Linked DNA regions of Arabidopsis thaliana. The protein of the gene in region 2 interacts with the protein of the main gene of each other region in a biochemical or structural test. Each region holds a gene or a part of one and is shown on either strand. Other genes may lie near its edges.

Evidence for each region.
Region 1: the proteins of ZTL (region 2) and GI form a complex in vitro, tested with the Arabidopsis thaliana proteins (one study listed by BioGRID).
Region 3: the proteins of ZTL (region 2) and SKP1 form a complex in vitro, tested with the Arabidopsis thaliana proteins (one study listed by BioGRID).
Region 4: the proteins of ZTL (region 2) and TOC1 form a complex in vitro, tested with the Arabidopsis thaliana proteins (2 studies listed by BioGRID).

Annotation. Positions count from the first base shown.
Region 1 is NC_003070.9:8,059,888-8,067,783, forward strand, and holds the start of GI (gigantea protein (GI)), read left to right. Parts: upstream 1-1,863; 5' UTR 1,864-2,094; intron 2,095-2,303; 5' UTR 2,304-2,510; coding exon 2,511-2,675; intron 2,676-2,755; coding exon 2,756-2,810; intron 2,811-2,888; coding exon 2,889-3,031; intron 3,032-3,115; coding exon 3,116-3,387; intron 3,388-3,533; coding exon 3,534-3,589; intron 3,590-3,758; coding exon 3,759-3,996; intron 3,997-4,122; coding exon 4,123-4,273; intron 4,274-4,399; coding exon 4,400-4,609; intron 4,610-4,709; coding exon 4,710-6,242; intron 6,243-6,354; coding exon 6,355-6,423; intron 6,424-6,724; coding exon 6,725-6,943; intron 6,944-7,035; coding exon 7,036-7,128; intron 7,129-7,242; coding exon 7,243-7,560; 3' UTR 7,561-7,896. UniProt on the Arabidopsis thaliana protein: Involved in regulation of circadian rhythm and photoperiodic flowering. May play a role in maintenance of circadian amplitude and period length. Is involved in phytochrome B signaling. Stabilizes ADO3 and the circadian photoreceptor ADO1/ZTL.
Region 2 is NC_003076.8:23,239,425-23,245,120, forward strand, and holds ZTL (Galactose oxidase/kelch repeat superfamily protein), read left to right. Parts: upstream 1-2,002; 5' UTR 2,003-2,172; coding exon 2,173-2,417; intron 2,418-3,247; coding exon 3,248-4,791; coding exon of another isoform or gene 4,792-4,832; exon of another isoform or gene 4,833-4,899; coding exon 4,900-4,991; 3' UTR 4,992-5,166; downstream 5,167-5,696. Other genes in the region: AT5G57370 (U4/U6.U5 small nuclear ribonucleoprotein), read left to right, coding at 5,387-5,696. UniProt on the Arabidopsis thaliana protein: Component of an E3 ubiquitin ligase complex that plays a central role in blue light-dependent circadian cycles.
Region 3 is NC_003070.9:28,514,997-28,518,439, reverse strand, and holds SKP1 (S phase kinase-associated protein 1), read right to left. Parts: upstream 1,922-3,443; 5' UTR 1,726-1,921; coding exon 1,417-1,725; intron 1,160-1,416; coding exon 986-1,159; 3' UTR 544-985; downstream 1-543. Other genes in the region: AT1G75960 (AMP-dependent synthetase and ligase family protein), read right to left, coding at 1-253; AT1G75945 (uncharacterized protein), read left to right, coding at 2,631-2,734, 2,946-3,027. UniProt on the Arabidopsis thaliana protein: Involved in ubiquitination and subsequent proteasomal degradation of target proteins. Together with CUL1, RBX1 and a F-box protein, it forms a SCF E3 ubiquitin ligase complex. The functional specificity of this complex depends on the type of F-box protein.
Region 4 is NC_003076.8:24,673,286-24,679,058, reverse strand, and holds TOC1 (CCT motif -containing response regulator protein), read right to left. Parts: upstream 4,097-5,773; 5' UTR 3,520-4,096; coding exon 3,387-3,519; intron 3,070-3,386; coding exon 2,908-3,069; intron 2,772-2,907; coding exon 2,638-2,771; intron 2,488-2,637; coding exon 2,320-2,487; intron 2,236-2,319; coding exon 2,082-2,235; intron 1,989-2,081; coding exon 883-1,988; 3' UTR 509-882; downstream 1-508. Other genes in the region: AT5G61390 (Polynucleotidyl transferase, ribonuclease H-like superfamily protein), read left to right, coding at 23-257; AT5G61370 (Pentatricopeptide repeat (PPR) superfamily protein), read left to right, coding at 5,588-5,773. UniProt on the Arabidopsis thaliana protein: Controls photoperiodic flowering response. Component of the circadian clock. Expression of several members of the ARR-like family is controlled by circadian rhythm.

The DNA.
Region 1 (7,896 bases), on a different chromosome or scaffold from region 2:
TCTCTAATCAGTAATATTTACTAAATTTATATATCATTAAAGATTTTTTGAATTTAGCAAAAAAAGAAGAAGATATCATTAAAGATTTTTAAATTTAAAGTATAACATAATGAATAAATCAAGTGTTGAGCTTAGTTTCGCGTTGCAAAGATGTTCATTTGATTTTTTTTTTTTTTTTTCCATTTGATTTTTCTTATACTAAATTGATTGATGTCACGGTCCTTCTGTGAAAAAAGTATATTGTACTGTATAAATTTATAATAGTCATACTTGAAGATAACTAATATCATTTTCTAAAGGTTTTGTTGACAATGAAATGGGTAATGATGAACATCTCGTTTGCTAAACCACAAAAGAAATAATTCGTTGGACTATAACTTAAACTTATAATATATCAACTGAAATGCCTACAATTTGAGAATACGCCTTTTCAAAAAGTTTTAGAATTTTATAAAAATTTCTCCACCATAATATTACTTTAATAAAAGCTTGTTATTAAAATGATATATTAACAAAAAAAAAAGAGGTAGGCAAAGTAGCTTTTATTAAAATTAATGTTTTCCCTAATTGGTAAATCATAAACCAAAAAATTGAGGTAATTCTTAATATATTTACTATGATTAGAATGATACATTAATGTAACATTTTATCATCTTCATTAATAATAGTAAGTTCTCCTCAAAATTACAATTTGATATCAAAAAATATATTTGTATTACAAGCAATTACTGAAAAATTAAAATTACAATTTAGCCCAGTTACATAACTCCACGTAAGGTTTGAGCCCATCACATCACATGGTACATGACCAAAGCCCAGTTATGTTACCATGGAGTATTCTTCAGACAAGAGCCATCCAGACAGAAGTGGACCACACAATCACGAATCGTATGGAGATCATTACAATATATTGCTCACATCTTATTGCGCCACGTCTCTTATTTGGCGAGTGATCAACGTCCACAGATCTCTTGCTCCACTCTGATTGGTACACGTCATCATTTTATTGTGCTACTTGTTTATGTGGTACAGTAGAGACAAGTGGTAAGATTTTAAAATATCTTAAAAGATGTGTGAGGCCCATTTAGATATTTTCTCAACGGGCTGTTCCTCAAAAGCTGCCCGTTTATCTACAACCATCGAACGGCTCGAAACTATTCTGGGCTAGCTGCCCGAAATCTCTTAAAGGAATTTGTTGAGTGGGCTTGAATCAACGGTGGATAATTCGAAGGTGTACGTAACATCTCGTAGCATCTGAACTTAGCTCCCCTCAAAATATCTGTGGACATATGTCACTAGCTTTTTTTTTGTGTAATGAAACTATTAATTAATTAGGCAATCACATGAGAGATGTTATATACTTAAATTAATAACTCAATAATACAATCATGACCACCAAACCTTGAAATAAAATAATCTCTCTGATTACTTGTACAAATTCTTTACCAATATATGCCATACTGTGAATGTAATGGTTTATTTTAAAACAGCCAAATATTATTGATATAATTATATGTTTAAGTAGATTTTAAACTTAGCTCATGGTTAAAAATAGACAGAATTTTGGAGTAAATCTGAGTTTACAAAATTTATTTATTAGGATTAAAATTAATTACTTAAATTGGCAAACATTTTTCTTGGTGATTGTAACATACAATATACGAATTTGAATTCGCATTGTGATTCCAAAACAACACTAACATAAACTACCAGTAAAATTTTTTAAAATAAAATTTCATATATATATGCTTAAAAAATGTAACAAAAATATGGTAAATTTTTTAACCATGGTATGGGTGGAGATGTATGTGGGATGATGATGGTTATATGGTAATGGCGCATAAAGGTGGTGGCAAAGGCAAGGAAATATCGATGACACGTAAGCAGACGGGAAATCTTAAACCGAGTGGAGAAGCCTCCAAATCTCTTTTTTCTCTCTCTCTCTCCTAAGGCCACCACAATCTCTTCTTCTGTGTATGTATTCTTTTTTTCTCCGATATTCGTCGATCTCTCAAAAATATCCTCAAAGCCAAAAAAAAGCAAGAGTAGAGATAACCAACCAACAAACTCATAGGAAGACATATTTACTTTCAGGTCTTTCTTCTACTACCTTTTTCGTGGTTTTTGGTTGATTGATTCTCAGATGAGATTTTTTCCCGAATCATTTGATGTCTTTTTTTTTTAAATAAGTTCTTGGTAAATCACTGTTTCTACTAGCATTTTTTGTTTTCTCAGCTTAGATTTGTTGTTTGATTTGACATCTTATCTGATTGAGATTTTGTTCTTCTGAATTGTTGTTACAGGGTTTAGCTGTTTGATTCAGCTTCGATTTAGTGTACAGTGTGTTGATTAGTATAAAAAGGATTTAAAAGAATCTGGGAGATGTGTATAGTGATTGTTCTTGCTGGCGAATGTTAACACTACGTCGTATTGATTCTCGATTGATAGTAGAAGAAAGGTGTTAGTTAGATTGTTCGTTCATCTAGTTGGGGTTTAGTTTCGGTTCCTGGATGGCTAGTTCATCTTCATCTGAGAGATGGATCGATGGTCTTCAGTTCTCTTCCTTGTTATGGCCTCCGCCACGAGATCCTCAACAACATAAGGATCAAGTCGTTGCTTATGTTGAATATTTTGGTCAATTTACATCAGAGCAATTCCCAGATGACATTGCTGAGGTACTTGATACCTAATGAGTTTAATAAGAGTATTCTCTTAGTAGTGACGTTTTGATTCATGTATAATTTATCTGTATCAGTTGGTCCGGCATCAGTATCCATCAACTGAGAAGCGACTTTTAGACGATGTGCTGGGTATGATCAACATTTATGATCCACACTTCTCTTTTTGTGTGTGAATGTCTATCTGATTTTCGTTTTCTGATGAAACAGCGATGTTTGTCCTTCATCATCCGGAGCATGGTCATGCAGTCATTCTTCCAATCATTTCATGTCTTATTGATGGCTCGTTGGTGTACAGCAAGGAAGCTCATCCGTTTGCCTCTTTCATATCTTTAGTTTGCCCAAGTAGTGAGGTATATAATAGCTGTCTAGTATCATGCTTACTGATTTGGTGTAACCTATACCATTTTGTGCTAACATGTTCACTATCCTAACAGAATGACTATTCGGAGCAATGGGCTTTGGCATGTGGAGAAATCCTTCGCATTTTGACTCATTACAACCGTCCCATTTATAAAACTGAGCAGCAAAATGGAGATACAGAGAGAAATTGTCTGAGCAAAGCTACAACTAGTGGTTCTCCGACTTCAGAGCCTAAGGCTGGATCACCAACACAGCATGAAAGGAAACCTTTAAGGCCTTTGTCTCCATGGATCAGTGATATACTACTTGCTGCTCCTCTTGGTATAAGAAGTGACTATTTCCGATGGTAAGTAGACTCTGTTACTGATGCTTCTATGTGTTCATGCGCCGGCCTCCTTCTTTTATTTTGGTCTCTCTGCTGAGGTCTATGTATTGAGGTTCTGTAGTGGATTAAGCTTACTGACAACTAAAAATGTTGCTTATTATTTACAGGTGTAGTGGTGTAATGGGTAAATATGCTGCTGGAGAGCTCAAGCCGCCAACCATTGGTGAGTTCAAGAATTCCATGTTAATATCCCCTGGAACTGGATTTTGATGATAATTCTGATCAATAGAGTTGTTCTATCACTTCGTTCATAAATGTGTATCCATCACCTGTGGCTATAGAATGTGTTTTGAGTTGCTTCCTATAACTTTCATGTTGTCCTACTTTGGCAGCTTCTCGAGGATCTGGTAAACATCCTCAACTGATGCCTTCAACCCCAAGATGGGCTGTTGCTAATGGAGCTGGTGTCATACTGAGTGTTTGTGATGATGAAGTTGCTCGATATGAGACTGCTACGCTGACAGCGGTCGCTGTCCCTGCACTTCTTCTTCCTCCGCCAACGACATCCTTAGATGAGCATCTAGTTGCTGGCCTTCCAGCTCTTGAACCATATGCACGTTTGTTTCATAGGTATTGTTTCTGGGCTTACCCTTTCAATTAGGGTTTATTGGTAGTAGTCTGTTGCTAGTTTTAAGGTTGTGCTTCCTCGAATCCCTAGATCAGAATTGTTTTCTCACTTTCCTGTTATACTGTCAGATACTATGCCATTGCAACTCCAAGTGCTACGCAGAGACTTCTTCTTGGACTCTTAGAAGCACCACCGTCGTGGGCTCCAGATGCACTTGATGCTGCTGTACAGCTTGTGGAACTCCTTCGAGCTGCTGAAGATTATGCATCTGGTGTAAGGGTAAGCGTAATATGAATCTCTTAATTACCCTCCAGAAAGCTAATTGTGTCCCTTGTTATAAAAAAAGTCAGCTTTGGTATGTCATCAAAGAAATCAGCTTTGATCACATTCTTTTTCTTGGTGCAGCTACCCAGGAACTGGATGCATTTGCACTTCTTGCGGGCTATAGGAATTGCTATGTCTATGAGGGCAGGTGTTGCTGCTGATGCTGCAGCCGCTTTGCTTTTCCGCATACTCTCACAGCCGGCACTGCTTTTTCCTCCGCTAAGTCAAGTTGAGGGAGTAGAAATTCAGCACGCGCCTATTGGTGGCTACAGTTCAAATTACAGAAAACAGGCATGGTTCCTCTTTATATTTTTCTGCTATTCCATCTCTGATATGCGATTGGCATTCTACTAGAAAATTATATTGAAACTGACTCATTTCATCTCAACAGATAGAAGTTCCTGCAGCAGAAGCAACCATTGAAGCCACTGCCCAAGGAATTGCCTCAATGCTTTGTGCTCATGGTCCTGAAGTTGAGTGGAGAATTTGCACTATATGGGAAGCTGCTTATGGTTTGATCCCTTTAAATTCTTCGGCGGTTGATCTTCCCGAAATCATAGTTGCTACCCCACTGCAACCTCCTATCTTGTCATGGAATTTATACATTCCACTCCTCAAAGTACTTGAATATCTTCCACGGGGGAGTCCTTCGGAAGCATGCTTGATGAAAATATTTGTTGCCACTGTGGAAACAATACTCAGTAGAACTTTTCCGCCTGAATCTTCCAGGGAACTAACCAGAAAAGCTAGATCGAGTTTTACCACAAGATCAGCGACCAAAAATCTTGCTATGTCTGAGCTTCGTGCTATGGTCCATGCTCTCTTTTTAGAATCATGCGCTGGTGTGGAATTAGCTTCACGCCTACTTTTTGTTGTGTTGACTGTATGTGTTAGCCATGAAGCACAGTCTAGTGGTAGCAAGAGACCGAGAAGTGAATATGCTAGTACTACTGAAAATATTGAGGCGAATCAACCTGTATCTAACAATCAAACTGCTAACCGTAAAAGTAGGAATGTCAAGGGACAGGGACCTGTGGCAGCATTTGATTCATACGTTCTTGCTGCTGTTTGTGCTCTTGCCTGTGAGGTTCAGCTGTATCCTATGATCTCTGGTGGGGGGAACTTTTCCAATTCTGCCGTGGCTGGAACTATTACAAAGCCTGTAAAGATAAATGGGTCATCTAAAGAGTATGGAGCTGGGATTGACTCGGCAATTAGTCATACGCGCCGAATTTTGGCAATCCTAGAGGCACTCTTTTCATTAAAACCATCTTCTGTGGGGACTCCATGGAGTTACAGTTCTAGTGAGATAGTTGCTGCGGCCATGGTTGCAGCTCATATTTCCGAACTGTTCAGACGTTCAAAGGCCTTGACGCATGCATTGTCTGGGTTGATGAGATGTAAGTGGGATAAGGAAATTCATAAAAGAGCATCATCATTATATAACCTCATAGATGTTCACAGCAAAGTTGTTGCCTCCATTGTTGACAAAGCTGAACCCTTGGAAGCCTACCTTAAGAATACACCGGTTCAGAAGGATTCTGTGACCTGTTTAAACTGGAAACAAGAGAACACATGTGCAAGCACCACATGCTTTGATACAGCGGTGACATCCGCCTCAAGGACTGAAATGAATCCAAGAGGAAACCATAAGTATGCTAGACATTCAGATGAAGGCTCAGGGAGACCCTCAGAGAAGGGTATCAAAGATTTCCTCTTGGATGCTTCTGATCTTGCGAATTTCCTCACAGCTGATAGACTCGCAGGGTTCTATTGTGGTACACAAAAGCTTTTGAGGTCAGTGCTTGCAGAGAAACCGGAGCTGTCTTTCTCCGTTGTTTCACTGTTATGGCACAAACTGATTGCTGCTCCTGAAATCCAGCCCACCGCAGAAAGCACCTCTGCGCAACAAGGATGGAGACAGGTAAACCTCAGCACTTCTATTTCCCAGCTCGCTTACAGTTTCCTTGGTAGTTCTTTACTAATCCAATTAAGTCGCTCGACTTCATACACTGATCATATTTTTTATATATCAGGTTGTTGATGCGCTATGCAATGTCGTATCTGCAACGCCAGCGAAAGCAGCAGCAGCAGTTGTCCTTCAGGTCCAAATTACTCTTTGACTTTTTATTTCATTTGTCAGGAATGCAACACCTGTGTAAAGATTAAACTGCGGAAAACCTATGGCCTGTGTTAATGTTTTATAATGCTTGGTTCACTCATTTGATCTCTCATGAATTTATAAAAATTAAGCTTGGAATTTATATGCAACACTTGTTTTAATATGCCAAGGATAGGAAATAAGGAAGAAAAAATCTGTGTAAAATAATGGCTTGTTTCAAGCTCATATGTTGAAGGATTTACTCTAATGCTCTATTGTCTGAAATGGTCTTGTGTTATTTACAGGCTGAAAGGGAGTTGCAGCCTTGGATCGCCAAAGATGATGAAGAAGGCCAAAAAATGTGGAAAATCAACCAACGGATAGTCAAAGTGTTGGTGGAACTCATGCGCAATCATGACAGGCCTGAGTCACTGGTGATTCTCGCAAGTGCATCAGATCTTCTTCTGCGGGCAACTGATGGAATGCTTGTTGATGGAGAAGCTTGTACATTACCTCAACTTGAGGTACTGCACTGTTATAGATTGCTCTTCAATGCCCTTCTTCGGGCTAGAGTAATAATCATTTTCTGATTCCACTGTATTTTAAACTTTTGCAGCTACTTGAAGCCACGGCAAGAGCAATACAGCCGGTGCTAGCTTGGGGGCCATCTGGACTAGCAGTGGTCGACGGTTTATCCAATCTATTGAAGGTAAAAGCAGAATCGAACAGAGCCTATGGTTTCCTGCGTCGATTGTAGATGATCAGTAGTAGGTCCAGTTACCAAAGTGCTTAACCTTGTTCACATCTTTTTGCTTCTATGCAGTGTCGTCTACCAGCAACAATACGGTGCCTTTCACACCCAAGTGCACACGTACGTGCCTTAAGCACGTCAGTACTACGTGATATCATGAACCAAAGCTCCATACCCATCAAAGTAACTCCAAAACTGCCAACAACAGAGAAGAACGGAATGAATAGTCCGTCCTATCGATTCTTCAACGCCGCCTCAATAGACTGGAAAGCCGATATCCAAAACTGTTTAAACTGGGAAGCTCACAGCTTGCTCTCCACAACTATGCCTACTCAGTTTCTCGACACTGCGGCTCGGGAACTCGGCTGTACTATATCCTTGTCCCAATAACGAGCACCCACTTTTGTTTTTGGTAAATTTTAGTTCTCTAGACAAAACATTTGGACGTAGACCAAGAAGAATATATATATAGTTTGTTGTATGTAATGTTGTAATGATGAGTGACTGACGCAATCACTCCCACCGGCGTTGGATTTGCTCTCGCTCGGTGTCTTATATAACTCAACCTCTTCTCTGTACATTTTAAATGACGAAGTAGCTCAATCTTTTTTTTTGTGCGTCTGGTGTTTAGTCTTCAGTGGATTCTAAATCGTAATGTATAGAAGTGAAAAATTTACAAATTTACTTATTTCCGAATACTCTTAAAACAGCAAAAATTAATATTGC
Region 2 (5,696 bases):
ATTTTTTTTCTTTCAAAATTTGTATAAAGAAAAAGGAATTTTATAGTGGGGGCATTTTAGCATCTCGTCGAAGATATGAATGAATAGAGAATTTTGCAAAGTGTAAAGAAAACAACCGACCAAACCCACTTGTTCTCTCACGTCCTTTTTATGTGTTAAATTGTCATACACAAAAAAAATATTTACAATTATAATTTTTCTAAAGTCTTTAATGTCAAAATTATATGATCTATTTATATCAGTAATACAAATGTAAATCGCTATATTTTATATTTTTGTTAAAAACTAAATACCATAATTTAAAAGAAATATTTTCTTTTTCTTTTTATTTGCGAAGATATTGTTTAGTCGTATGGCATTGTATTAGTTACTTACTTAGTAGTTTTACAGAACGAGGTGAAGAATGTCGGAAAAAAGAAAGAGGTGACGAAGAATTTTGACCAATTTGCTACTTTGTAAGGGAAATATAATACAAAAAAATTGTATTTAGCATCATTACAAACAATTTCTCCATTTTGTTTTAACTTTTACTATCAATTTTATTATTTTTATACGAAACTTATAATTAATAACACGAGGTAAGCCTGTTTTGTTAAATTGAGTATGTCAATTCATTTCATGAGATAATAACCTTCAAATAAAGTTCATAAGATAGTTGCCCCATATCGGTAACTTAGGCTTATAAAACAGTCTTATTATTGGTGATATAAAACAGTACTTAACTACTTATATATAAGTACTTACAACTTATTCTTATTATTGTTGATATAAAACACTAAAGTTGGGTTAAATCTTAATTCCAATTCAGCTGTTTGATGTTGGTTTAAAAGTCTGTTTGCACCTATGATTCTATGATATACCGAACCGATTCGATTAACCAGTAGTTACGAGAAGTTATTTGTTTCAACTAACTATCTATTGATTTGATGTAACTAGTTTGGTCCTCTGCGTATAAAAGGAACATTACAGAAGAGATTAAATGATAGGCAATTGATAATTGAGACGGTTCAAGAAAAGATTTAGCAACCAACAACCTTAACAAATTTTCATTTACGTAACTATAATTATAGATCTTGCTATTTTTCCATTTTATGGCGTCTTCTTATTACGAAACTCATACTATTCAGTCACATAATCTCATTTACTGGACTATAATGGGCTTTATTGTAATGGGCTTTATTGTAAGACATGAGCCCACAAATTTGGAAAGTAATAAGCTTCAGCTCAGCTAAAGAGAGTCTAAAAACCAAAGGGAAAAATGTCATTAAAATCCCCAACTTATTGAAAAAGTTGATTTAAATCCTCAACTTCCAACGAAACGAAATAAATATCAAACTTTTGTTGATTTTCCAAATAAATACCAAATTTTGGTTGACTTTCCAAATAAATATCAAACTTTTGTTCGAGTAGCCATATTAAGTATGACATTAACAGACCCTGTTATTAGAGTCCATTTTTTGTTAACAGACTCGTTAATTGAAAACGACAATATTCCCTATAACAATAAAACAACGTCGTTATGTCATAAATGCTCAATTAAATCCCAATTTCAAATCATATGAAGATTTAGGGTTAGAATTTTGCTTGATTTGGAGATTTAAGATTGGATTTGGGAATTTAATTCGGTCGTTATAATAAAACGAGGTCGCTTTCTTGTTATAGGAAACAATAACGTTTTAAATTAACGGATCTGTTAACAGAAAATTAACTCCGTGAACGCAATATGTTAATCTACTTAATATTATACCTAATATGACCATATATACGAAAGTTTGGTATTTATTTGGAAAGTCAACAAAAATTTGATATTTATTTCGTTTAGTTGGAAGTTGATAATTTAAATCAACTTTTTCAATAAGTTGGAGATTTTAATGACATTTTTCCCAAAAATCAAGGGGAGTTTTATGGTTTTATCTACTTGACCCGACAGAGAAATCCGGACCCGGATAAAATCCGACCCGTTCGAATGAACTCATACGGCCGAGATTTTTCCACCAAACTCGACGGTTACCACTCGTTTCTTTGTCCACCATCTTCTCTCTCTCTCTCTCTCAACCCCCGAAAATCTCCTTTTCCCAAAATTTTCCGATTATCTCACGCCGGATTGTTTTTCAATCGCCGTCTTCATAATCTCCGGCGACTGAAATCAGTCTGGTAACTATTTGAATTTTCATGGAGTGGGACAGTGGTTCCGATCTAAGCGCCGATGATGCTTCGTCACTGGCGGATGATGAAGAGGGAGGTCTTTTTCCCGGAGGTGGACCAATTCCATATCCCGTTGGGAATTTGCTTCACACGGCGCCTTGTGGATTCGTTGTTACTGATGCCGTTGAGCCGGACCAACCTATTATATATGTCAACACCGTCTTCGAAATGGTTACAGGGTATCGTGCTGAGGAAGTTCTCGGAGGAAATTGGTTAGTTGTTTTTTTGTTATCTTTGTGATTAGTGTTCTAATTGATGCGAGGAATTTCTATTTTTGGTTATTGGCTCACTTTACCAAATTTTGGCTACTTGGTGGAGTTTGATTAAGGTCCGTTTAGTTTGAGGATAGGTGAGGAATGTTTGTGATGATGGTAATCTGAAGGACACTCTATTGATCACTAGATTTAGTATGGATGGATACTTTGGTGGAGAGAAAACAAAGATATGTCTATTGTTAGATAATCATTAGAGTCTCTGCCAAATGGCAGAGAAGACTCAGTGGAGTCTCTGTGTGTGCCTAAGTATTCTCTGCCTTCAGATGTTTATTCAGTGATTGTAGTTTTCATATTAATCGAGCTCTCATGGCTGTTTTTGAGCTGTTTCAGCTGCTCCGCATGTTAAGGAAACTTGAAAGTGTATATAGATGCCGAGATAAAGCGAGCTATCCCTGTGTAGTTTCTCGGGGTCGTAGCGAACACAATAAATTCTTTACAATGTTGATGTGCAGTGAACCAGTGAAAAGGCTAAGTCCAATGCGTTTAGTTGTGTGTTAGTTTTCCATGAGAGAAGTGCTAGTAGCTTCCTTTATTAATAAGCTTTGATCTTACAGGAGGAGCTGATCAGTTCAAATAGTTGTTATTCTTGAACAGAATGAAAATCTGGTTAGGTTATAATTATGCTTGTTTGGTGTATTTGTTTTTTTTTTCAGTCTCTACATGCACGGCCAAATATTTTGTCTATTGCTTTTCCGCATCAGTAAGTTGGAGATAAATTTTGTTTTTGGTCTTATATTGTTTCTTAATTAATTTCTCGGATTCTGCAGCCGCTTCTTGCAATGTAGAGGACCGTTTGCTAAAAGAAGGCATCCATTAGTTGACTCTATGGTTGTTTCCGAGATAAGAAAATGTATTGATGAGGGCATTGAATTTCAAGGCGAGTTGTTGAACTTTAGGAAAGATGGATCTCCGTTGATGAATAGATTGCGGTTGACTCCTATTTATGGAGACGATGATACTATTACCCATATAATTGGAATCCAGTTCTTTATCGAGACAGACATTGACCTTGGACCTGTTCTTGGATCTTCAACAAAAGAAAAGTCAATTGATGGGATATACTCAGCTTTAGCTGCTGGGGAGCGGAATGTTTCCCGAGGAATGTGTGGGTTATTCCAGCTGAGTGACGAGGTTGTGTCTATGAAGATATTGTCACGCCTGACACCAAGAGACGTTGCATCTGTTAGCTCTGTGTGCCGCAGGCTATATGTGCTGACAAAGAATGAGGATCTTTGGCGAAGGGTTTGTCAGAATGCATGGGGAAGTGAAACAACACGGGTATTAGAGACTGTTCCTGGTGCTAAAAGACTCGGTTGGGGCCGCTTGGCTAGAGAACTGACCACCCTTGAAGCTGCAGCTTGGAGAAAACTTTCGGTTGGAGGTTCTGTTGAGCCTTCTCGCTGTAATTTTAGTGCTTGTGCTGTCGGGAACAGAGTTGTTCTGTTTGGAGGAGAAGGTGTGAATATGCAGCCTATGAATGATACCTTTGTTTTAGATCTGAATTCTGATTACCCTGAATGGCAACATGTCAAAGTGAGCTCCCCTCCTCCAGGACGCTGGGGCCACACGCTCACTTGTGTAAATGGCTCCAATCTGGTTGTATTTGGTGGCTGTGGTCAGCAAGGTTTGCTGAACGATGTGTTTGTCTTGAATCTCGATGCTAAGCCGCCTACTTGGAGGGAAATTTCGGGTTTGGCTCCGCCTCTACCAAGATCATGGCACAGCTCATGCACCCTTGACGGAACCAAACTGATAGTCTCTGGAGGCTGTGCAGATTCCGGCGTTCTTCTAAGTGACACGTTCCTCCTCGACCTTTCAATAGAGAAACCAGTGTGGAGAGAGATTCCAGCTGCCTGGACTCCGCCTTCCCGGTTAGGCCACACACTATCGGTTTATGGAGGAAGAAAGATCTTGATGTTTGGTGGTCTTGCTAAGAGCGGGCCTTTGAAATTCCGTTCGAGTGATGTCTTCACAATGGATCTAAGCGAAGAGGAGCCTTGTTGGAGGTGTGTGACCGGTAGCGGAATGCCTGGAGCAGGAAACCCAGGAGGAGTAGCACCACCACCAAGGCTAGATCACGTTGCAGTTAACCTCCCTGGAGGCAGAATCTTGATATTTGGCGGCTCAGTGGCAGGGCTTCACTCAGCGTCTCAGCTTTATCTACTTGACCCAACGGAGGACAAACCGACTTGGAGAATACTAAACATTCCAGGAAGACCGCCTCGGTTTGCTTGGGGACATGGCACTTGTGTTGTGGGAGGAACACGAGCGATAGTGCTAGGTGGTCAGACCGGAGAAGAATGGATGCTAAGTGAGCTACACGAATTATCACTAGCGAGCTATCTCACGTAACCAAAGAGAGCCTATGTATGAAAGAGAACCCAGCCATAGAAGAAGATGAAAAAGGGTTCTCGGTTAGGATACTGGAGCTTTAGGGGAGAGCGACTCAGTGGTGGGACTTTGGTACTGCTCATATTTTTTAAGTCCTTCTTCTTCTTTCTTCCTCATTAGGAGGACTTTTAGTGCTTATATAATATATATAGTGAAAATGTCATCTCTCTCTTTCTCTCTGTAGTGCTTGTTTCTGTTGTTCTCTTTGAAGTTTGAGAAGTGCATTTGTGTTCATATTCTGTAAATTTTATTTATGATTACAAACTTTAATAAGATCCTTTCTCTTCTTATGCTATTGGACCACTATTTTCATTTCCAATTTCATACTTTTAGTTCGGAGACAAAATGAGATTATTATTATTTTTCCATTGAGTATGATGAATATAAGAAAATTGGAAAAATAGAGGATAAAACCCCAAATTTTCATTTTAATAGAAAAAATTGGGGAAGAAAATTTACAGTGTTGAAATTGGTTAAACCCTGACACTAGCACCTTCCTCAGTCGCATCACCACCATGTCAGAGCGCGACCGCCGCGAACGAGAGAGGGATAAGGACCGTGAACCAGACCGTGATAGACGCCGAGGTAGAGACGACCGTGACCGTGACCGTGATCGAGACCGGGAAAGAGATAGAGAGCGCGACCGTGACCGAGGGCTTAGAAACAAAAAATCCCGATCTCGTACTCCAGACCACCACGCTCGTGCTCGCCACGTGCGCTCTCCGGAGAGGTATCGCTCTCGTTCCCGCTCGATTGACCGTGACCGGGACCGGGACCGTCAACGACACCACAGGCGCAGGTCTCCTTCTCCAGATGCTCCGTCGC
Region 3 (3,443 bases), on a different chromosome or scaffold from region 2:
CGGAAAACTGGAGCTCGTACATTTCCGGAGTATTAGCAGATAGGACAGAGACAACGTCGGATCTTCCTATTCCAATGGAAGACAGAGCAGACGCGACGCAGAGGCAACGGTGATTCGTTTCTCGCCATGTGTACACGGTGGAATTGCCGTAAACGATGGAGGTACAGTCTCCATACACGGTGGCTGCTCTCTCAAGAAAGCCTAACAGTGTCAATGGTAACGAGTTAGCGGCACTTGGCTTCAAATCTTCCATTTTCTTTAGCTCTTTTCGAGTGACCACAATGTGAGTGTTACTGTATATAAAGAAGATATCTCTTTCAGTCTCATAGTAAAGATAAGATACACAATGACGAGACGAGAGACCACTTGACTAGCCAGACAAACAATTAAAGTAATTATATTGATGTACATGTGATCCACGTTCGGTTGAGTGGAAACTTTGTTTTCTTATATGCAAACAAAGCCCACATGTTATCGAATGTTGACGAATGGGTGATGCTGATTATGTTAGTATTTGAGAAGATGTTGACAAGATACAAATACGTGATGCAGATATTTATGTAAGTAGATGAGCAGGAGCAGGGCATAACTGGTGACCATTGGTTTCAATGAGTAGTCGTCATGATCCTTCACATTCTGCTTGCAGACTCTGCCAAATTCAGTTTCTTTTTATTTACACATGAACATTCCTAAAATGAATCGTGCAAATTAGCATTCTGTGGCGATTGGCAAGACAATTGAAAGAAGTTATTTTGTAAGACAAACCAACATCACTCTTGAAGATTATCTAAAAGCACAAATTATCCATCCCACAAAGAGTAAGAAACATTGGTTCTTGATAAGAAAGAAAGAAGAGGAAGAAGATAGTCATGATTCATGAAGAATATTAAAAAGCAAGTCATCAACAACACTTGAAAACGGCAATAAACATAAGGAAGAAGAAACTGGTTGCTTGCTGCTTTTGATTCTTCTCTCTGAAGATCAATCATTCAAAAGCCCATTGGTTCTCTCTGCGAACCTCTTCCTCTTCCTCTGGTGTGAAGTCGTTCTTAATGTTGAACGTTGTGCGGATCTCTTCTGGAGTCTTTCCTTTGATCATATCCGCAACTGTCTGACATGTTAGATCAAGCAAGTTCTTGATATTCAGGTAATTAGCAGCCTGCACAAGATCCCAAATTCATAACCATTAGATCAAAATCCGAATCCAAAAACACAGATATGATTATAATCCAAATCGATAGATTCAATTAATGATTGGTTCCATAAGAACCCTAACAATATCAATCTCAAGCAGATTCAATTTCTGAAACAAACACCTAAATTTCGAAACCCTAATTTTCCCAAATCGAAAACCCTAGAATCCCAAAATTCAAAATTCGATGGAAAAATCAAATCAGATCGAGAGAAGAAACATACCAGAATGAGTTCAAAGAGAGTAGCTTGATCGATCTTCATAAAATCAGCGTCCCAGGCCTTAAGATCGTCATCGGAGGTAGCAGCACCCTCGACGGCCTCGGCCTTAGAGGCAGCAGCCTCGACGTGCCTCTTGCAATACTCGATCACCTTGGCGAGGATCTTGCTCGTGACGTTAGGAAGAGGGACTCCGTTGTCGACGCAGTCGTCTTCAACCATATGCGCTATGGTTTGTGACTCGAGAGCCACCGCCTCCTCAACCTCGAAAGATTCACCATCGGAACTCTTCAACACAATCTTCTTCGCAGACATGGTTATGGAAACGAAGAGAGAAGAGAAAGATTTTAGATTTGGGAGATTTGTTCTTTGAAGAAAATTTTGGAGAAGCGATGAATGAAATAAAGAGATGCGTCTCTCTTTATATATAAAACAATCCCTAATTTTGATAAGTCGGTCGATTGTTAAAAAGTCGCAAGTTTAGGGAAATTAGGAAATTGTTTCAAATTTTGTTTTTCTAAAAGAAAAATAGAAATCAATCCTATTGATTTTAAATTTTGTTTTCAATAGTTGAAATTAATGAAATTAGGACTCTGTTCTATTTTTCTTTTGGAAATATTAACTTTGATCCGTTTAATTCGTTGTATTTATCTCATTATTAATAATATATGATTTTATATATATTTTTTTTCCATCCAGCTCCATAATTGTCAAAAAAAGTAAAAGAACCAAAAATCACCGTAGGATAAGTATTAGTCAATCAAATCAGCTTTGTCAGCTTTAAGATCATGTTTTTTGAACATTTATTTTTATTTTATATTAAGTTAATATTAATATGTCATAATAAATAATATATCTAACTAGTTTTTGGTCAAGAGTCATACAATATTTTAGGCCTGGGATAACGGTTCAACCCGAGAAAACCGAACCGAAAAAAACGAAAATTTTGGTTTTCGGCAGCAACCGAATTAAGGAGATCGAACCGATCGGCCAAATTAATTTAAGAATTCGGAAGTCGGTTCGGGTCGGTTCGGTAATCGGAACCAATCGGTTTCACCCATACCGAGAATCTGCAGCCATATATAAGGTTAATTGATGAGTCTTAACCTAATTAGGTTTCTTCTTCGTTTTTGGCTCTCTGCCTCTTGCGAAAACAACAAAGAAACTTTGATATTTTTCTTCGATTGAATTAGTAATCATCAACTCGTCTCTTCTCCTTCATGAATTCATCATCTTCCAAGCCTCTTTCATTCTCTCTAATCTCAGTTGGTCTTACAAAAAACCTTTGCTCAGAGATTCAACCCACAACCTCAACTTTCTTAGGGTAAACTCTTCTTATTTCTCTTTAATCATTTGTTTTGTTTGATTCTTTGCTCTCTAAGCTCTTCCTCTGTCTCTATAATTTCTGAAATTTTAGAGTTAGGCTTTACACTTCCAAATCTGAGATTATCCATTATTTTTATGGATCTTTTATGGTTTACACTTCCATCTCATGTTTTTTCTTACTTCATGGATAACAAACGGGCGTTTAACAGGTCTCGTAGGGCATTACGTCGTCGGAATGGTAGATCACTAGATTGGAGAGGCACTGCTCGACGTCGCAGTTTGGAGTTGTAGTCGTACATATTTTTTTTGTCAAAACTCAAAACCCTAATTTTGTAATGGACCTGACCCATAATTGTGTTGTGGATTTGTAATTGTAACTGTATATTTGTGTATTGGGCCTGTTGTTTGTTTTTTATTAGATTTCATTTTTGTAAGTCCATTTTTTTAATTTGTGGTTTATTTGGTTCAAATTAACCGAATTAGAAAAAAAATCGGTTTAATCCGGAATTTAATTTATACCCAATAACCGAACCGAAAAAACCGATGTCCGAACCGACCCGAACCGAATTTTTGTTCGGTTCAATTCGGCTAGAAATTAAAAAATCCAAAAACCCCGAAAAACTAAATAAACCGAACCGATTAAACCGATATATCCGAACTCCCAGGGCTACAATATTTATATAATGCTGTGGATTTTATTCTCTCTT
Region 4 (5,773 bases), 1.4 Mb from region 2:
GATTATTTCTTTGTATGTGCAGTATACCCACAGAGTTAAATGGAGATATAGATCGGTACGCAGCTGAGATACACCAGAAAGAGTTCTCTGGAGCTACTGCTACTCAGAAACTCATTTCTAGCAACCCCAAGGCTGAAGAGATTGAGTCTTTGTTGAATCCGAGAACTGTTCTTGACGCTTTCTTGTCTCTGGAGCCATATGATTATCAGCAGAGAGCCGGAATCCGTCTAGTTGCTAGAAAGCTTGTTATACATTAGTGGACCTTACTCAATAGCACCACAGAGAATTAAAGAAATCAGAGTTTAGTGGACTGTAGAGATTTATTTATGTAGTCATGAAAGAAACACAGAACTGTTGTTCCTGACAGTAGATATACAGCTGATTATGTTCTTAGTTTCAGATAACTTAAATCCAAATTTAGATTTTCATATGCTTCTTGTCTGTGACACAATTGCATTTGTATTGTGTTTTTCCGAGGAAAGACAGAAGCTTTAGTGGTGGAAGACATGGAGCGATTATATATAATTATATATGTAAACACAGGTGAGAGAGCGAGGGAAAAACAAGATTCAAGTAAATGATACTGGAAGGAGAAGAAAGGTTAATACATCTGAGTACTTACTGAGAGAATGTGAGTGAACATGATAAAATACATTATATGTTTATCAACGAACTAAGCTAAACCCAATGAGAGCTTTTCAATGCTCTGTCAAAAAGTTGAGCCGCAAGAGCCAACATTGCCTTAGAGACAACTCGATATTCGATGTTTTTTTGGCTGTAGCAGTATCATCTTTTTCGTGTCAGTCGATCAACATCTTCTGTTGTTTGATAAGATGCAAGCAAATACGTATAACACAACGGTTTTCAGTTCTTGGTGTATCTTCAAGTTCCCAAAGCATCATCCTGAGGAGATGAATCCCGGTTCTCCTCTTCTTCTTCTTCTTCCTCCTCTTCCTCGTCATCATAGTCAGCAGAGTCAGGCTGTCCATTTAAATCAACATTCACGCCGTTCATCTTCCTAACAAACTGACCCTTAACGCGGGGTCTCCTCTCAGCAAGGCGTTTCCTATTCACATACCTAATCTTCTTATCAAAACAACGTTGGTTCCTTTTACGTCTGAATTTCAGCAGAGCTTCCTCTCTTCTGTCAAGTTTATTTACCCTCACCTCATTAGAAGGCGGATTTCCTGCCGGTGACCAAGAATGATGAACCATAGACATCTGACCATTCTGTAAAGACATCTGACTATGCTGCAAAGATGTGTTCATTGGGTGGTGGTAGTAAGGATATCCCGTCATTCCATTCGGATGATTTGGTTGGCAATGAGGAATTTGATGACCATATTGAGGCATCATGGCTGCTGATTGCATCATAACTTGGTTCATGACCCCATGCATATAGTAAGGATAGGCATTTGGTGCAGAGAAACCCGATCCATCAACTTGAGACGAATCTTTACTTCTGTTCATAGCAACTTGGGGAATATTCATATTGCCCTCTTGGTAGTTCCTACCATGAGATTCCATTGATGTGGGAAGCGTGCGTGACCGCTCAAGGGAATGTGGATAGCTGGCGCCATTCTGCAAGGTCTCTCCTTGAGAATGGTATTGCTCGGTCCCTCTACTTCTGTGTGCTTGTTTGGTGTTGTTGATCCCTTCACTAGCCACCACTTGAAACTTTTCCGCCGCACCCCGATGAAGATGATGTGAGCCATTTCCATTGACAAGAGGAGGATCCTGACCGTTAGTTCTAAGGACAGTAGATTTTGGTGTTGCTCTGCGTGCTTGTTTGGTGTTGTTGATCCCTTCACTAGCCACCACTTGAAACTTCTCCGCCAAACCCCGATGAAGATGAAGTGAGCCATTTCCATCGACAAGAGGAGGATCCTGACCGTTAGTTCTAAGGACAGTAGATTTGACATATGTAAAGAAAGCAGAGGACTCTCCGATCTTCAATCTACTTTTCTTCGGTGCTGAAGAAAATTGCGCTGCAAAACCCCTACTATATTAGAATTCACTAAAACAAAGGTTCTTTTAGAGACTAGCTATTAGAAAGTGAGACATCAAAGAGAAACAATCACCTGGATTACTATTTCTTTTCATTGGCTCATGGTGAGACCCAGCAAGATGATCCAATGGAGGCTCTATAGCAGTAACAGCAAGAGAAGAAGTGGCTGTTCCATCAGCACCAAGACCACCATCACGAGCATGAACAGGAGCAGTAGCAACAGACCACTACCAGCAAAAGCATGAGCGCAAGCTAAAAAATCAGTTCTTCTCCATTTTCAGAGGGCTTTAAACTGTCAAATACTTTCTCACCTCATTTTCCTGGTGACTTAAATTTCCTCTCTGTGGGTTGGTGGACCTAAGACTTCTATCATCTGTGTCGTCAGAGAACAGGTTGGTACTATTTGTGTTTGGATCACTTTGATCAGATCCCACAAGATCAAAATCATAGCTCAACATATTCTTCTCAGCAAGTCCTAGCTGCCAAAACAAATATATGAAATCAATAGCATTAACTTCATGCATCAAGGTCTTTTATTTCAGAAGACGACAGATTGAGAGATATGGCTATCAAGTATTGCTCAAAAACAGTAAGATAAATAGAGAGAACTTGAGACAAGCAAAACAAACCATGCGTCTTCTTCTCCACATGTGTGTCCACAAGTTCAGAAGCTCGTTGGTGCGAAGAGGCTTCACAAGGTAGTCAGCTGCACCTAGCTTCAAGCACTTTACAACGACAGGGACTTCGTCTTGCCTCGACATCACTTAAATTGAGAATATTATAAGATTAGTCAGTATAAAGCTAATGATCATGCTGTCAAAAGCACTTTGATAAGCAGAGAAGATACAACTTCACGAATAGATAATAAAACGAGAAGAGCAACAAAGAACACAGCTTACTTATCACAGGGATTCTGCGAAGATCTTTGTCTCGTGTGATGTACCTCAGCATCTTCATACCCTTAGCCATTGGGAGATCAATTTCCGCCAGTATTATATCGATATCAGGTCCCTCTGCATTAAGTGCATCAATCACCTGCCTTGCTGATTTCACTGCAGTCACTGCATTCCAAAAAGAATAAAAACAATTCATCCAATATATCATCATTGAGTCTTGAACAACAAACAGTTGAGCATAGTGTAAAAATAGAAAGCAATACACACTAGAGATGCATTCAAAAACTATCAATAAGGTACTAAAATCAACAAAGGTTAAAAATGTCATCTTGATCACATCTGACCATACTGACTCAAAAAGCCAGACGACAAGAACCTATAAGAGATCTGCAATCTAAAGTAGTAATCCCAACTTAGCAAAAAATAACAAAGTAAAAAGAGAAACTTTGGGAACAAGACAAGGACAAACCTATAAATCATACCTTGATAAGAACACTCTGAAAGGAGAGTAAAAACCTCTCCCAAACTCGTGGAATCATTGTCACAAAGCAAAATCCTGACTCTGCTTCTATCAATAAACCCATCTCCTCCTTTACACTCACCGTTCAAATCCATGATCAGATTAACAACTAAACCCACACAAAAAAAATATCTAATCACAGAACCTAAGAAAAAAAAGGATTATACAAAAGTAGAAGAAGTAAAGCCGACAATAGTAAGTGCTATGATACTTCCATGGCCAAATCAGAACTAGGGTTTTTCGGTACAGTGTCCCTACAAAGTCGCCTAATTTATCCCCTTAACAAAGTCAAGTAATCTCACAACCAAACAAAAACTACTCTTTTAATCCCCCAACCTAATCCTTTATCCATAAGAACAAACAAAAAGATAAATCTAAGAACAAAGAGCTGAAATAGGAAATTCTTTTTTCTCTATATCGAATCATGAATCAACAAAAAAGCTCAACAAAAGTCACCGGAGATCCGGCGTAACGCCGGCGGTGAGATGAGGAGGAGAGAGAGAGAAGGTGAATTTCCGACAAGAAGAGTGAGAAGAGAAAGAAGACTCATTGTTTTGTTTTGTCAATCAATGGTCAAATTATGAGACGCGAAAAAGAGAGAGAGAGATGGTAAATCAGAGACCGTTGAAAGAGGATAGAATTGGACGGTGGAGATTAAGTCTTTTTCTTACGCGTTGTTGTGTAGCTTAATGGTGGGACTTGGGATATTTTAGGCCAAGGAGATGACGTGGACAATAAAAAGTGCAGGCCATAAAAAAAAAGGTTGTGTTGGATAGTTTGGTTGAGATAGAGAAAAGGCCACGTCATCTTGGAGAAAATATCTCATGATATTTATTTTTGTTTTTGATATTATTGTGGTAAGATACAAGATAAGAAGATGCATCTCCATATCAAAATCAACAAACATATCAAAAGGTCGACAGAAAGAAAAAATTGCAAATTCTTTTAAAATATATGACCAGATCAGACCAAACCATCAGAAACCAAATTTTAGGATTCGGCTTCGTTTCGTTTATTAAAATATATTTATAACAACAAGAAAATCTATTATCAGAATTTTATTTTTCTGTTATCTTTAGGTACTGAAGAATTAAAGATACAAACAAAATAAAAATAAAAAACGAAAGATACAGATATAGAAAATTTTACTTTTATTACATCTCAATTTCTCATCACAAAAGACTCCTAAAAATTATGATTCTTTCTAAAAGCACAGGGTTATAGATATAACACTCCTTTCATGGTTGTTATAGAGGACTTATTTAGGCATTATGATTCATTAACTTCTTAAAGTGATTGAAAAATCAAGCTAAATGATATGTTGTAACAAAGTTTCAAGTGTTTTTTTCTAATGTTATAAGTGTATGTGTGCAAATTGTCTTGTAAACAGGACATTAGCAAGATGAAATATTTACCTTCTTAGCAAAAAAGATGGTTAATCTCATCATCAGTGGTTGGGAAACAAATAATCAAGTTGTCATAATCATAAAAAGAGATAATTAGTAGGCTAAACTTTTATATAGAAAGTAAGTAGTCGACAAGCTAAAATATTTCGTATTACCGATTGGCTCATATTAGTAGCTGCGAATATCGTTAGTACAAGTGGACCAATAATGCATGATATATTCTCAACTTCATCCACCGTAAGACACGTTTTGTCCCGGTCCAACTTTTATTACGTTTTGCCATCGACCATTGACCAATAACTTGTTTATGACTTTATGATGTTAATTATTCGTGTAATTTCAGAACTATTTTATCGGGAGTTCGATTTTCCAATATGCATCGGCGGCCTTCGAGAGTAATCATTCCGGTTAGTGACTTATAAGTTATAACCATCGTATCTCACGATTATCGGTTTTATCCGGTTCTGAATTTGAAGCGTGATGGAATGTAAAAGACTAAAATGCCCTTTTCAGACACGCGGGCAATGTTTCCAACAAATGAATATATATTGTTGTTGAGCCGAGCGATCTCATGAAATCTGCAAATTTAGGTCTTTTAATAGAAATCTGAATTTCATGTTGCTGAAAGAATTTACAACGAAGTTGTAAATACTCTGAGAAACATGTAAGTCAGGAGAGAGTCCCTTCTATGGTTTATATTTGGCGGCTTTTAAGAAGCATACGCATATCAAGTGTTTGATGAAATTCCTCAGAGAAGATGATGTCCACCACAGTCAGATTAAACAGGTTTACGTATCTAACGAGTACTGCAAAACTGACACGTTACTTTTGCTCTCACCATTTAGTTGACCGATCGGAAACGGCGTTGCATGAAGTTATTCGGATAGTTTCTTCTCCAGTTGGTGGTCTAGATGACCTTGAAGAAAACTTGAACCAGGTTTCT